Linked DNA regions of Medicago truncatula. The protein of the gene in region 2 interacts with the protein of the main gene of each other region in a pairwise test. Links are inferred from orthologs where the notes say so. Each region holds a gene or a part of one and is shown on either strand. Other genes may lie near its edges.

Region 1 (7,802 bases), on a different chromosome or scaffold from region 2:
CATAGAAAAATGCATGTAGGACAATGTATATCCATTTTTAGTTAAAGACAAGTAACCAAGTTTTTTATCAAATATAATATCAAAAAACAAACATAATTTTAACAAGCATTATAATATGCATCTATACCTGCAGACACAAAAATATACATAATGATGACAACACATATAATCACACTAGCTATATGAAATAATACAAATTAATAAAATATTCCATCTATAGGGAGTAGTGTTTACACGGAACCTTGATGAGACAAATGAGAAAAAGAAGCAAGAGAACAAATCAATCAAATTCATCATTATTCTTAAGGACCTACTAACACATCATAGCTTAATCTCTTTTTTAGGTCATTAATCAAATCCAATCAACTTTGCAAGATTTTTTTCCATGTTAATTGATCCATATCATAAATCTAAAATCCACTTTGCACTTGTCCCCAGGAAAGTACTTCAGCTCTTTGGAGCTACTCTACTATCTGCATTTTGCACTCCAATTAGGAAAGAAACTTGTGAGTATATACCTCGCAATTACCACTTCTGGGAACAAGTGCAGAAGAAACCCTAATTCATTGGTTATTATTTACAAAACCTAAATTCACCCACCAATCTTCCTGTTCCGAAGTCCTCCAATTTTTGGATTCATTACAAAGTAGATTCTTTAATAATGTTAATATATTAAGAACACTACAAAAGCCAGTGAAATCTGAGAGTTTCTGTGACCTCATCAAAAGGGAAATTTTAAGAAAAAGCTATATGTGTGATGATGCAAGTCTTATAGTTCCCATAAAAACAATACTATCAAGCACACACACAAGAAAAGACGAATTTAACAAGATACCTATATAGTTAAGTTCCTTCAATGCACCAACACCAATGAAATATATATGTACTACTATACATCACCATCTACCTTTATTTTTAGACAAAAAACGCATGAGTTAAGGGCACCTTTGGTAGCAAGTATTAGGAACTCACTTATTTAGGCAAAGAAGATTAAAAAGAGTACAAGCTAGCAATATAAAATACTATTGAAAAAGACTAATTAAGAATTTTTTTTATAAGAAAAGCTAGAAAAAAAAAAGTAGATCTTGTCATAAACTTCAATTTAATTAATTAATTAATAATAATCAAACACTTTTACATACTAACAAAATTAACAAACTCTTCCAAACACAGGCATGCATGGATGCATATGTAAACAACAACAAATATCAAGCAATCAAGATTATGATTTAAAATCTGAATAGTATTTTCTGGAGAGAGAGAGAGAGAGAGGTTATTATCACCAATATTATCTGAAGATGAAGAAACTGTAAGATTTTTGAACTGGACTTCAATCCTTTGAAGAAAAAGCATAGCTTCCTTTAAGGGTTTGGAAAGTTCTTGCTCATACTTGATAAGCATCTCACAGTAAGCTTCCATGAACTGATCTAGAGCTGGATCTTCACCTAAACAACCTGATCCAACTGCATCTCCACCCATTCTCACTGCAGTTGCACATGCTTCTTCTAACCTTGCCACCACTTCACTTGGTGCTCCAACCTAAAAACACAATAATTTTCATGAAGTAAAAAATTTATGAAAAAAATAGTCATGAGATGAAGTGTCTTTATCACATATGCTTAAAAGGGTTTTGACTTACAATAATATACATGATAGTTTGTCAATATTAGTAATAAATGGAAATGAAAACAAAAGGCCACAGTTTCAAAGTACAATTATACAACACAGCTCATCAGATCCAAACTTGTCAAACAAAAAAAGTACAAAGAAATTAATTACACACACATCGTTTTCAAAATAATTATCTTCTTTTTTTTTCTGACCTTTTGACAGTTGATGTAGGCTTCCAAGAGACGGTGATAGTGAGGATGAGCCATGATCTTGGATTTGACAGAAGAAGAAGAGGAAGAAGAGCTTCCATGGTTGTTGATGTTGTCCATGAAATAGTAACCTAAACCAGGAGTGTTTTGATGGTTATTTTGAAGCATGATAGAAGAGGTGTTGTTATTACAGTTGGTGTAGTGATTGTTATTATTGTTAGTGGAATTAGGGATAGGAAGGAAAAGACCGGTTGTGTTGTTTGCATTAGTATTGTTGTTATTGGAATTTATTGGATGATGAGCATTATGATGAGATGAAGTGACTAAAGGCATCATCATCATTGGAGGACATAGCCCACCACTGTTTTCTCCAAAAGCACCCATCACATAAGAACAACTTCCATTAGAACTACCCTCCATTGAATTAATACTCACTCACTCACTCACTTAGCCACAATAACACTTCCTTTTTATTACCCTTTTTGCCTTCTAGGTCAGATTTTTCTTTCTCTCACTTGAATGATATTAATATTGAAGATGTTTTTGTTTCACACAAGGGTCACCCGCCCGGGTTTTATGGTAAAAAAGTAACAGGCTTTTTTACAGAAAAACATAAATAGTGATAGTGTTTTGTGGTGGCTATGTTGTATAGTTACAGTCAGTTACATGAAGAAGTAGTGAAGAGGTTTTTTGGATTCTACTACTGGCAAAAGCCTGCACAGATTTCCTTTGGAAAATGAGTGTTAATCTCTCTTTCCACACATTTTCAGCATTTAATGAAGAAATGAATCTCTCTTTGTCTCTCTAGCTAGTGGATAATACAAGGTTTTTTATGAAGGAGTGAGAAAGCAGTAGAGTGCACGCGGGATATGTAGAGAGAGAGATGAAGGTTGAGTTACAGAAGAAGGGTTAGTGTGAAGCATTGGTGCCAAAAAAAGGTTTTACCTTCCCAATGAAAACTCTACCTTCCTTTTTCTGCACTGCCACTGATACCCCTGCCATACAAAAGCAGTGGAGTGAGAGACAAGAGAACAAGCAAGTTTTTTTTTCTTTTCTTTTCTTTTGTTTTGGAGAGAGGTAGTAATAAATAGTGAGCTAGGAACGATCAAATCGAGGAGGAGAAAACAAGTTACCTACTACTACTATGCTGATGATGATGAATATATTGGGGAAGATAGGTTCATTTCATAGGGCACGGAATCAATCCTTCTCTCTATCTCCCTCACCTCACTCACTCTATTCTTTTTTCTTAGATCAATTCTTATTTTATTAGTATTTATTATACAAGTACAATTTAATCTTTTATAATCACAAGCAAAATATTAACAAATGCCTCCGAGGTACTCTTTAATACCTTTAAATGATAATTTTTTATAAAAATATGTATAATCAATGTATTAGAAATCAAAATATTTAACTTTTATGTAAAATAATTTTTTTCTTTTAAAATCCTTCATGAGTGCCCCGACAGCACTCTTTAACAAAACCTAATTACAAAGACCAAATGAAAGGTTATACAATTTTTATTGTACTATATACCATATTGGTTTTCTTAATCACGGCCCCAAACACTAGTTACCATTTCTCATTGTATAATAAAATCAAAATGGAAACAATCATTTTTAGATACTTAGAATAATTTTATATGTCTGCATCACTCATTTATAATTTTTTAATAATAATATCTAATAAGCAGTCAATCCCTCCAGCTAAACACGGAACACATTAATTATCTACCAATGACTCTATATCATTGCATTTCAAAAATAAAATATTAAAAATAAAAAAATCATCTCACTAAAAATTTAACATCTACATTGAGACTTTGTTCCTATTAATTCAATAACTTTTACTCGATGAAATTACTTAATAAATATCTGGTCTTAAAAAGGAGAGAGATCCCTTGTTGGAGATGGCCTAAATGTTAAACGCACCTAAAGAAAAAAAAATAAGGATTTTGTTCAATTAATATATATATATATATATATATATATATATATATATATATATATATATATATATATATATATATAAGTTTTGCTAGAAGCCACTCATTAAGATGTCCTTTTGCAACCCAACGCACATGTTAAAAACTCAACGAGAGTAACTTTAATTTATATTAAAAAATATAATATTTTGACTTTTAAAAAGATGAATATACAACTTTAAAAATGTATGTTTCGATTCTTAAAAAAATGTATATATTTATAATAAGTTCTTTAACATGCGCCTTAAGGGCATAAGTTAATTAACCAACTTGGATTGGCTTGGAGTAAAGGTGGCAAAACAAACCTAATTATCGGGCCGGCTCATTTAGCTTGCTTTTTTTGGAGAGCTAAGCTGGAGTTTTGAACTCACCACTTCTAATAGGCTCGTCTTGCTTAATTCGTTGAAAAAATGGGATGGGATGGGATAGGGACGGGGCGGGCCAACCCACCAACTCGTCAACTTGAAATTTTTTAATTTTTTATTTTATCGACGAGTTAGACATAATTTAAAATGAAGTGACCAAATAACTCATTATAATCCAATTTTGTCTCGTAAGCTTGTGTTTTAGCACAAATTGATTTGCTCCCAATTTTATTTTATAAATAACCACAACATATTTTTTCATAACAATAAAACTGTTAAAAATTGCATTAAAAATCACGTTTTTTCTTTGACGGCCCGTCAACCCGCCATAAAGCGGGGGATGAAATTTTGAACTCGGCCACCTAAATTGATTCAACCCGTTTCTTCCTGCTTTTTGCGGGTTTAAGTTGGTTGGTCCGCTTTGCCATCACTAGATCCCTAGTCTAGTGATGTTGAGTTAGGATTTTGAAGTGTGCTCATGCTCGAGGTCTCAGATTCGATTATCTCCAATATTAATTTAGATGGATTAATTTAACTTAAAAAAGGCACAAGTTGACATTTGTGTAACTATAAAATATATTGAATTTTTGTCAAAAAAAAAAAATATTGATTGACAATGATACAAGTAATATTAGAGATACGATTGGAAAAAATATTAATGCTATGTTGAAAATTGAAAAGATCAATTATTTCGTGACAAATTTTTGTTTTAGAAAGGTTAATTACTTTAGAACGAGTACATTTAATTTTATGAAAATACAACACTAGTCGTCATTATACTCACTCTCTTTGTTTTCTTCTTGCTCGAGATTAAAAATTAACTCATTTTAGTATACAAGAAACTATAAGATATATAGTTTGTTTCTTTTGAACAATAGTAATTAATGATTAAATCACATTTTTGTCTTGAAAATGTAATTGTTATTTTGAACACTAAATTTATGAAACATAAAATTATTCCCCTAAATTGTCTTACGTCAATCAAAATGTTTCTTTGTTAATTAATTTTATTAGATGTGTTGATGTGTTAATTTAAGTGATATCGTGATTTGTTTAAATCGATGTCACCCCACACATAATATCATAACTACAAGTTTTTGAGACACAACATTATATGGTGGCATAATCAATACAGACTAATGGATTATTCCATCACGAATGGAAATGTAAAAAAATATGTGGTTCTTGAGATTTCAACCACCACCAAACGTATATTTGGTTGCGTTGTGGAAAAAATTGATTTTGATATAATCAATTTTGTAGAATTGATTTTAATTAAAAGTAATTTTTTTTAAAAATGTAATTTATGTTTGGATACGTTCATGTAAAAGTGAGTTGAATTATAAATTTGTATATTAAAATCAATTATAGATTCAAAAGTTACAAATCATATCTCAAATATAATCAATTATGGAGACATGGTCAATTATAATCAACAACAACCAAACATATCAGAATCAATTCTATACCTCCAAAATCAATTATAACCCTCTAAAAATAGAACAAAAAATACACCAAGAGAAAAGTTTAATACGATCTTGTAACATCTAAATTCAACTCTTTGTTACAGCAAACCTACGAGTTACACTTCTTCCAATAAAACATCCAACAAAATCACATACAAGCAATGATGAGTATATCCTTCGTAAACAAATACTACAACTAAACAAACCACCAAATTGAAAAACATGCAAGCAAACATCAGCCGATTGAACAGAAAAAATCTCCAACTATCAGAAAGCCAAGGGCTACCAAAGATGATTAACTTTCTACTTTAATTTTGTGAATTATTAATTAACTCAACAAAGTTTTATCTTTTACTAAATTGAACCCAATATGACGTTGCTATGTTAGCTAGCATGCATATAATCAGTAGTAATTCGAGATAATTTACTGCAGAAAAAGCTAGTGCTGTAGCTAAGTTAATAAAGCTGTAAAGTATGTGGGACAGTCCGAATGTCTCTTCCTCTTTTTTTCTTTGATGACTTGCTAATCTATTTGTAGCACTAGCACCATAGATATCTATATATCCTTCCTCATCGTCCACAATAAAGGCATAGACTTAGCATCACTTCCCGTAAAAATACCGTATAAAAGCAGCTCCATCAGGTTACGTACTTATTGTCGCATCCCATTGTCCCCCCTCCCATCCGGTTTATACTCTTCATTTTTTTTGTTCTCTTTCGTACAGCATTGAAAATTTGAGTTGCTGTCAATTTTAGAATAATAATAATTCAGATTTTTAGAAGGGTTAATTAATTGTTTTTCCCTACAAAATAAAATCATACTTTTTAATCGCTATAAAATTCTCCATCAGCATTTTTAGTCCCTATAAGAACTTTTCATCATTATTTTTAGTCCCTGTAAAAAAATTTCATCAACATTTTGTTCCTAAAAATAAAACTGTGAATATTTACAAGGACTAAAAACTTAATTAACCATTTTTATAATATGTAAATTGTTCCTGTAAGTTGGCGTGTTTTTTGTTTCTGTTTTTGTAACTTTTTGATTCTAAAAATACCCGGTAAGTTTCAAATGTTTTGTTTTTGGTCTTGTCGTCATCATAAGTTACAAAAACGTTGATATATCAAACGGCGACCGATGTGACGATGCGTGACATGGCAAGTGAGGCTTATGTGTCACAATTGACAAGTTTAGAGGGACTAAATCCAAAAATGAAAATTTCCAGGGGACGAAATTCAAAAACACGAATTAACAAATTTCAAATTAAAAATCTTGCTTTTCTTTCTTCATCTTCTTCCTTCTTCTTCTTCATCATCTTCAACCTCACCATCATCAACATTCATCAATCTTCATCATGCCCATTAACATAAATTAAACATTCAAACTCTTTAATCAAAATCTCATTTTCATTTCCATCAAAATCTTCTTCTTCGCCGGATCCAATACATACTCAATTCCAAATCTAAATCATACTCAAACCCTAAAATCTCCGGATCTACCCCAAAATCGCATCCCTTTAGTGTAGTAAAACCTTTATGGATCCTTGTGTTGGTTCTTATTCTATTTCCTTCTATCGATTCATCATCACCCAAAATCATCAAACAATAACAACACATAACTTGAATTAAATTCTGCAGAAACCTTCAAAATTTCAAATTAAACCACACAACAACAACCCATTAAACCACACACCGATTACATTTTTTTTCTTTCCAGCAACACAATCCCACAACAAATTAGCGACTAAAAAATCATTAGAGCAATTTTTTGAGACACGGTTTTTTAAAAGATGCTAATTTGAAACATTGCAAAGTTTTTCCAGCCACAACAAACTCTATCATAGTAGCAGTTTTGATTGTTCTGGGCTTGTGTTCTAATTCACATTGACGAAATTAAAATTGCACTTAGAATGAGAAGATTTGAGTTTTGGGTTTCTTCTCAACATCCTTCATATTTTTCTTGATTGAGGTTTTTTCCCCTTTGTTTTATTATGTTATGTCCCTGGATATGGAATTGAAAGAAGGGGGAGAATTGAGAATTAAGAAAAAGTGTGTTCAAATAAGAAGAGTTTAAACAAGAGGAAATGGAAAATGAGATTTTGATTGAAGAGTTTGAATGTTGAATTTATGTTTTCTCGGTATGATGAAGATTGATGAATTCGTAATG
Region 2 (7,236 bases):
TCATCATGCAATTAGACTAAATAGAGGTAAATGATGCTACTATGAAGGTAAAAATCATTTAAAGTCAAAATTTGAAAACCAGCTAGTTTTTAATATGATTCAAATTTTAGATACAAAATCATTTCTACCACAATATTTTAAAAAGTTAAAATCAATTCAACACTTCTAATATCAATTTTGATATCTCAAAAAAGTGGAACCAAACGAGCATTTAAAAGTGTGCATCTAAATGCCACCTTAGATTGATGTCGGAATGTGAAAAATAGCTTCAAAAGATAAATATCCATTGAGGAAAAAAAAGTTACTGATAAAAACTCATAATCATCAAGAAGCTCTTTCGCATTTTGAGATTGTGTGCGAGTAAAAAAAAATTAACAACACATTTTTTAACATACTCATTTTTACCAGTTATAATACATGTAAGCTTCACCAAATTAAACGTGACTCTAATGCATTTTAATCAATAAGAGAGACCGTATTACAAAATGTGAAAGAGTTTTCTCTTAGCACCCCTAGAAATATTTTGAGATTTTGTGTAAGCTTGATTAAGACTTACCAACAATTATTAATTGATGTTCCAAACAGGTTATAGGTTACAACTAAAACTTAGGCTAAGGTCCACAAAACAGAAACGGCTTTGTCGTTTATGAGCATAGGGTTTGAAACATGTTCAGAGTTAGTGCCCTGTGTCTTCTAAAATGTTTTAAAGGGCCCATACTTTTCCTTGTCTTGTTCTACATAGCATGACTTCATTATCATCCAACCAGTTAACTTGACCAAAACACCCGAAAACGTTTGCTTTAGAGGGAAAACAATAATTTCCCTCAATCTTTCTGAAAAAGGAGTGAACCTGTTCTGTAACCAAAATTATGATGAAATGTTTATACATACACATGTGGTTTCATTTTTTTTTTTTTGACTAAATCATGTGGTTTCATTTATTGTTTATCTATAAAATCTTCTTTTCCACTGTATGAACAGTGGTATAGATTTCATTTTTAACGAAATACAATGGTATAGAAAATTGTCACACAAAACAACAAGTAGAAAGTAAATCATTATTCTTAAAGGGCTTCCATCATTCACAAAAAAATATAATACAAATTAATCATTGATATTTTCATACCTTCAAATTGTGTTTGTAATTCATCAAACCAGTGGTGGTGAGGTCTCATGCAAATATTGTTCATGATATGCACATGTGTGAAAGAGTTTTGGAGAAATAATAGTCAAAATTTTACTGAAGTTGTATCTAAATGTAAAAGATTAACTTAAAAGATGAGTTAATTTTGTTGTTTATAAATATTAATACACACTTTAAGGGTGATTATCATAACACAAATTTATTTATACTTCTTTTTATTTTTTTATAAGGTTGATATATGCTTTCTCAGACTTTTTTTTAGCTTAATACAAGAATAGAAATTTTCATACACGAGTAAATTAGCATCTATGTTGTAATGAATCAATTTTATTTTATTTTTGAAGAAATTGTAATGAATCAAATTATCAACGACTAATTTAAATATTGTAAGTGACAAATAGAGTGTGTAAAATTGATTTTTACTAGAGGGAAAAGGTACAAATAGTAGTTTTGATTCCAAAATGAAGCGGATGAACATACCAAGATTCAGGGGCGATTGCTTTCTTACTAAAGGGGTAGCTATGGCTAACCCAAAGAAGAAGAAGAAAATTATTGAAAGAATAAGTATATTTTTATATTAAGCTAGGAACCAGAGGATGAACACAGAAAAGTTCTACATTCTTTGATTGACAATGAAAATATGACCGCAGCAACAACATCAATGTCTTCCTCCCAAAACAAAAACCTATCGCTATTGGCCTGAACTGATTTAACGGCACTTTGTTATTGTCAAAACAAACCCTTTATTAACGCATCACTTTTTTTTATAGCTAAAAAATAACTAACTAGTAAATTATAACCTTTTATAATCTGTTCTTATTACTTTAAGTGTGTCTTTTGAAATATATTTTATATGAGTAATAGCTATTGTGATTATTATTATTGTAACCACCTCATAAAATTATTATTGTTCGCTGCTGCCAAGATTAACATTTGCAACTGGGTGGTTAACAACTTTCCAATCAATTAAAATCACGTTTGAAGCCGATGAGCTCACCTTGGTTGCTTTTAAGGTTGTGTTTGGTAAGGACGAGAAGCTTGTTTAAGGAGTGTAATGGTTCAATTTGGATCGGTTTTCAATCAAAAAAATGTCCAAACCAATGAAATCTTTATTTGTTCGCTTTGTACTCTTTTCTAAAAAGGAACCGAACCAAACTAATCGGTTTGATTCGGTTTGGATCAGTTCGGTTGATCAGTTTATTTGAAAATACAATTAAAAAATTTCATATTCTCACAAACTTATATTTCATGCATACAACATACATCATATTAAAATATTTTACGGAACTTTGTGTTTTTTTCATGTTCTCTATTTTTCAAACATCTATTTATAATTAACCTTACTCAATATTTCATGCATCCACGACTTCAAAATAAATATTTCATATATCCAAAATCCATTCATCCATCATTCATCAAAATCAAATATTTCAATCATCCATGATCCACACATACATCATTCATCAACTCACAAAAATTCCAAATCATAAGTGAATGGATTATGACATTGTCGAATAAAAGGAGGACTTGATAATGTCATTAATAAAGTGAAGATGGGAGAAAGTGAATTGATCAAGGAGTATTTTATGTTGGACTTTTAATTTTGGGTCTAATTATGTTTGTGTGTGTGTGTGTGTGTGTGTGTGAGGAATAATATTAGTAAAATGGGAAGTGGAGTTAACATCGGTTTGGTTTATCAGTTTCTTGGATCTCAAAATGAAAAAATGAGAATCGAACCAAACAAGATATGTTTAGATTAGTCCGGTTCGGTTTTGAACCGAACCAGACAATGTCGAATACTTTTTCGATTTGGTCTGATTTAAACTTTTGGTTTCGTCGGTTTTGTCCAAACCGCTTACATTTATAGCTTATTGGATTAGTTTTGAGTTTGTTGGATCAAAACATAACGTATTTGGTAATAAGTTTTTCTCATGAGCTTATAACTTTTTGTGAGATTATATTTTAGGTAGTTTTTAAGCTTATAGCTTTTATTAATCTCTTTCAATTTTAACCCTATTAATTTAGTTTTATTATTTTTTAATAATAAAAACTACCCATTTTAGTAAAAAAAATGTAACTACCCGTTTTTATATTTTGTTGAAACCAGCATGCAGCACGTTACGACGCCCGTTTTTAATAATAATAAGTATTGTGATTTATATCTTAAAAAATTAGGGTTTCCTTTGACAAAAAAAAAAAAAGGGTTAGGGTTTCCCAATTCAATCTTAATTTTATTGATAAATATTTCATTAACAAAATTATAAATCAAATAATTGATTAATTTTATTTTAAACTAAGATCGAATAACTTTAGTTTTGAGAGAGGTAACTTTGGATCTATCAACATAGCAACAAACATTCATATAAATATTTTTAAAATGAATTTGATAGAAATAGGTTAACGATGCATATGTTTTATGACTTAAAACATTATGTACATATTTTTATGATCATAAATAACTAATTTGAAATTAGGAAAACTAAAATGATTAACCTATACAAACATTAAATTTAAAAATCTTATGACATTTGTTAAATAAAACATGAAACTTTTTTTTGAGTAATAAAAATATGAAACTCTGAAGTAGTATGTGTTGATATGAAATGAAAGTGCATTGTTCCCTCCCGCCGAATAAATACTGAACACATGATTTGCTGCATTAAAATTGCAGAACTATGGAGATGATGAGATGACCATTCATATATAAAATTGCGTCATTTTATATATCCCTTACATCACACACTTTAATCACCCTCTTCTTACTATTACTACCCCCCAAAAGCAACAAAAAAAGTACACACCTATACTTCAATATTTCATTACATAGAACCCTATACGTTACTATAGGCCATGATGACACAACACAACATAACAGTGTCAAAATCTTCACATCACACGCCATACATTTGCCTAATGTTTTGTTTTTGCACTTTATTTGCAACATTTTCTTTACCTTATCACAGTATCATGTAACTCTTGTTTCTACTCAAGTTACCAACTTGTTTTAAATTTTGCTAAAAAAGCTAAAATGTTTCTTTCTGTATGCACCTGCTATGCTATGAACAGAGAGAGAGTGAAATATAGCAGTGATTCAGATAAATGATCAGAGAGAGAGTGAAAAGATGGGCCCTCTAAAGCCTGAAACAGAAATGAGTGGCACTGCACCAAACACTATACACTGTATCAATGCCTCTCTCTCTCTTTCCTTGTTTTATTTCTTTGTGGTTTTTCTACCTTCTTCTATCTCATTCATCTCTATCTTTGCATTTACATACATAGGTGCATAAACTAGCCCCCCCCCCCTCTCTCTCTCTCTCTAGGTTTTTTTTTACATTTTTTCTACACTATAGTTTGCAGTTTGCACTCTTCAATGCTTTTGTTATTCTTGAGGTGATTTTTTTTTATATGGTATAATGTAAAGTTTTTTGAGCTTTTTTGTGTGTATTGGATTAGAGAAATGAATGGTATGCACTATGCAATAAATCTTGATGGGATCTGTGAAAATTAAAAAATGTGCTTTTGGAGTTTGGGATACTTGAATTAAAAATATTGTTAATGTTCATGCATATTGGACCAATGCATGCTTTTGATATTCACCCTTTTCAGCATATTTCTGGTTTTGTTCTTTACATTGTTAAACTTTTAAGACCAAATTTAATGATACTCTAATCACATTGCTTATCTTTTTGTTTTTCATGTTTCTTTGTTGTTTTCTAGGTTCTCATAGGACAAGGCAACTACAAATCCTGCAAAGAAGTTGTCAAAAATGTTTGAATTTTTGAAGATTTTGACAGATATATGTAAAGTTTCATATGGTGGCTCTGTTTGATTTATGTAAGGTTCCTATGCTTATTAAGACAAGGTTGGTTCATTTGTTTTTGCTTACAAACATTTTTTTTTAACTGTAGCCTTATCTTAAAATTGTTCTTGTTATCAAATAAGTAAGTAGTCAAAAATCATTTTTCTAAGTCTATTTTATTTTCTTCTTTGTAGCATTTTCTAATTGTTTTCTAAATGGAGAATGATGTGTACACTGCTCAAATGAACATGGAAGATATCACACAACATCTAACACAAAAGCCACTCATTCATTACTATTCATTTGACCTTAACAACCAAAACAACATCATAAATGGAATTCCAATACTTTCTGGTGGAGAACAAGATCAACATGTTGATGGTAGTTTCATGAATCAAGTTACCATAGCTGATAATTCATTTGTTACATCACAACAAGGAAGGACTATTGTGGAAAATCCCTCAAATCTCATTGTTAATAACAATGACTTTTCGGTTCCGGCTAGAATCGGTCTTCAAGAAAATTTAGAAGCAATAGTTCCATACATATTCAATAATTGGCATGATACTTCAAACTCAAACCCTTTGTGTGCAACTTTTGGTGATAATAATAGCTATGTTAACAAGTTTTTGAAAGCTCAAGAGAGTAATGTTGGAACCGAATTCATGTCATATTCGCCGATAGGGAACATTGATCCAAATGGATGGCAATCATCAAATGTTGCTAACTTAACGAATCTCGCTTATAGTTCCTCGAATTGTAGCAATGAGCTTTCACTAAGTCTTGCAACATCTCCAACTTCAGTTCAATGCTCAGAGATTAGTTGTTCTGACTTAACTCATAGCATGAATGGAACAAGATCAGGTTTGGAACAAGCCTCATGTAGTAGTATGGAACTTTCTATGAGTTTAGGGAATGATAAACATGTCAAGTTTTCGCCCGCAATATTAGGATCAAGATACCTTGCTGTAATTCAGGAAATACTTGTTCAAATTGCAACATTTTCATTTGAAAATCTTGATGAGATAAACTATTCCGGTTCTGGTGTTAGAGGCCGAGGAAATAAATCAACTTCGTCAAACACAACCAAGCGAAGGATAGGAATAAATCGCGACGAGAGTCCTATGTCAGAAGCTTATGCTGATTCTTCATTGCAAAGGCATGCTGTTGAATCAAAGCAATCTCAACTCTTGATGCTTCTACAGATGGTACATTGCTAACCACTTAGATTACATTACATTCATTTGGTTTTCGTAAAACCGTTTATGGTCCTGATTGCGTTAGTATATGTCTGCTGGTTTCACTCTTGAACATGGAAAAAATTGATTTCTGATGTGTAGAACGGATTTTGACATCTTTGGATGTTTTCTAGTAGAGTTGGTACTTAGAGCTAGAATTTTGAGCTTTTGCCTCTACAATTGATTTTTAGCCTTGAATTTATTGCTCAATCAACTTTTACATGAGAATCTATCGAAACATAAAATCAAATTACATGCAACACCCTCTTAGGCAGAAAATCAAAATTAATTTTTGTAATTGTAGAAGCAAACCTAGATGCAAAATTGTTCACTTTTCCAAATAAAATTTATCGATGGTTAAAAGTTGTTATACTAGTTCAGGACAAAACTTTGAAAAGCAAATTGTGTGATGTTGAATGGTACTCTATGAACAGTTGTTATTTGAACATCAAAATACCTACATTCCAAAGTTACACACAAGGGTCAAAAGAAATTTTGATTATCAAAAATTATTTCTCTATATGAAAGTTTTGTTCGAGAATGCTGATAGTAGTCTTTATTTTACTCAGGTGGACAGTCAATATAGTCAATGTTTGGATGAGATTCACACTGTCGTATCTGCATTTCATGCTGCTACTGAGCTCGATCCACAAATACACGCGCACTTTGCTGTCAAAACGGTTTCTCGACTATATAAGGACTTGAGAGAGAGGATTAGCAAACATATTCTTTCCATGGGATCAAATTTTAACAGTTCATGGTCAGAAGAGGATAAGGAATTATCTGTTGAAACTTCATTCATTCAAAAGCAATGGGCTCTTCAACAGTTGAAAAGGAAAGATCAGTTATGGAGGCCCCAAAGGGGCTTGCCAGAAAGATCTGTTTCCGTTCTACGTGATTGGATGTTTCAGAATTTCCTCCATCCGTAAGTATTATCTATAATCAAACATATGCTGCCACATTGCATCCCCAATTTCGGCTGCATCAGCTGCATTTTGCTACAATATCAATGATTGTGACGCAACTGCAACTGCAACTGCAATTTAGAACCTTTA

What was found.
Region 1: the proteins of homeobox protein ATH1 (region 2) and homeobox protein SBH1 interact in binary tests that used the Arabidopsis thaliana proteins (3 or more experiments, as listed by UniProt). The link is inferred for Medicago truncatula from reciprocal best matches to the Arabidopsis thaliana genes ATH1 and STM.

What each region holds. Positions count from the first base shown.
Region 1 is NC_053043.1:8,828,556-8,836,357, forward strand, and holds the start of homeobox protein SBH1, read right to left. Parts: upstream 3,052-7,802; 5' UTR 2,241-3,051; coding exon 1,824-2,240; intron 1,540-1,823; coding exon 1,284-1,539; intron 1-1,283. UniProt on the Arabidopsis thaliana protein: Required for shoot apical meristem (SAM) formation during embryogenesis. Negatively regulates ASYMMETRIC LEAVES1 (AS1) and ASYMMETRIC LEAVES2 (AS2 or LBD6). Probably binds to the DNA sequence 5'-TGAC-3'. Binds to RNA.
Region 2 is NC_053042.1:4,466,550-4,473,785, forward strand, and holds the start of homeobox protein ATH1, read left to right. Parts: upstream 1-4,186; 5' UTR 4,187-4,324; exon of another isoform or gene 4,325-4,534; intron 4,535-4,861; 5' UTR 4,862-4,978; exon of another isoform or gene 4,979-5,006; intron 5,007-5,137; 5' UTR 5,138-5,158; coding exon 5,159-6,151; intron 6,152-6,750; coding exon 6,751-7,106; intron 7,107-7,236. UniProt on the Arabidopsis thaliana protein: Transcription factor which may be involved in the signal transduction pathway downstream of the COP1 gene. Controls floral competency as a specific activator of FLC expression. Is responsive of the nuclear import of SHOOT MERISTEMLESS (STM).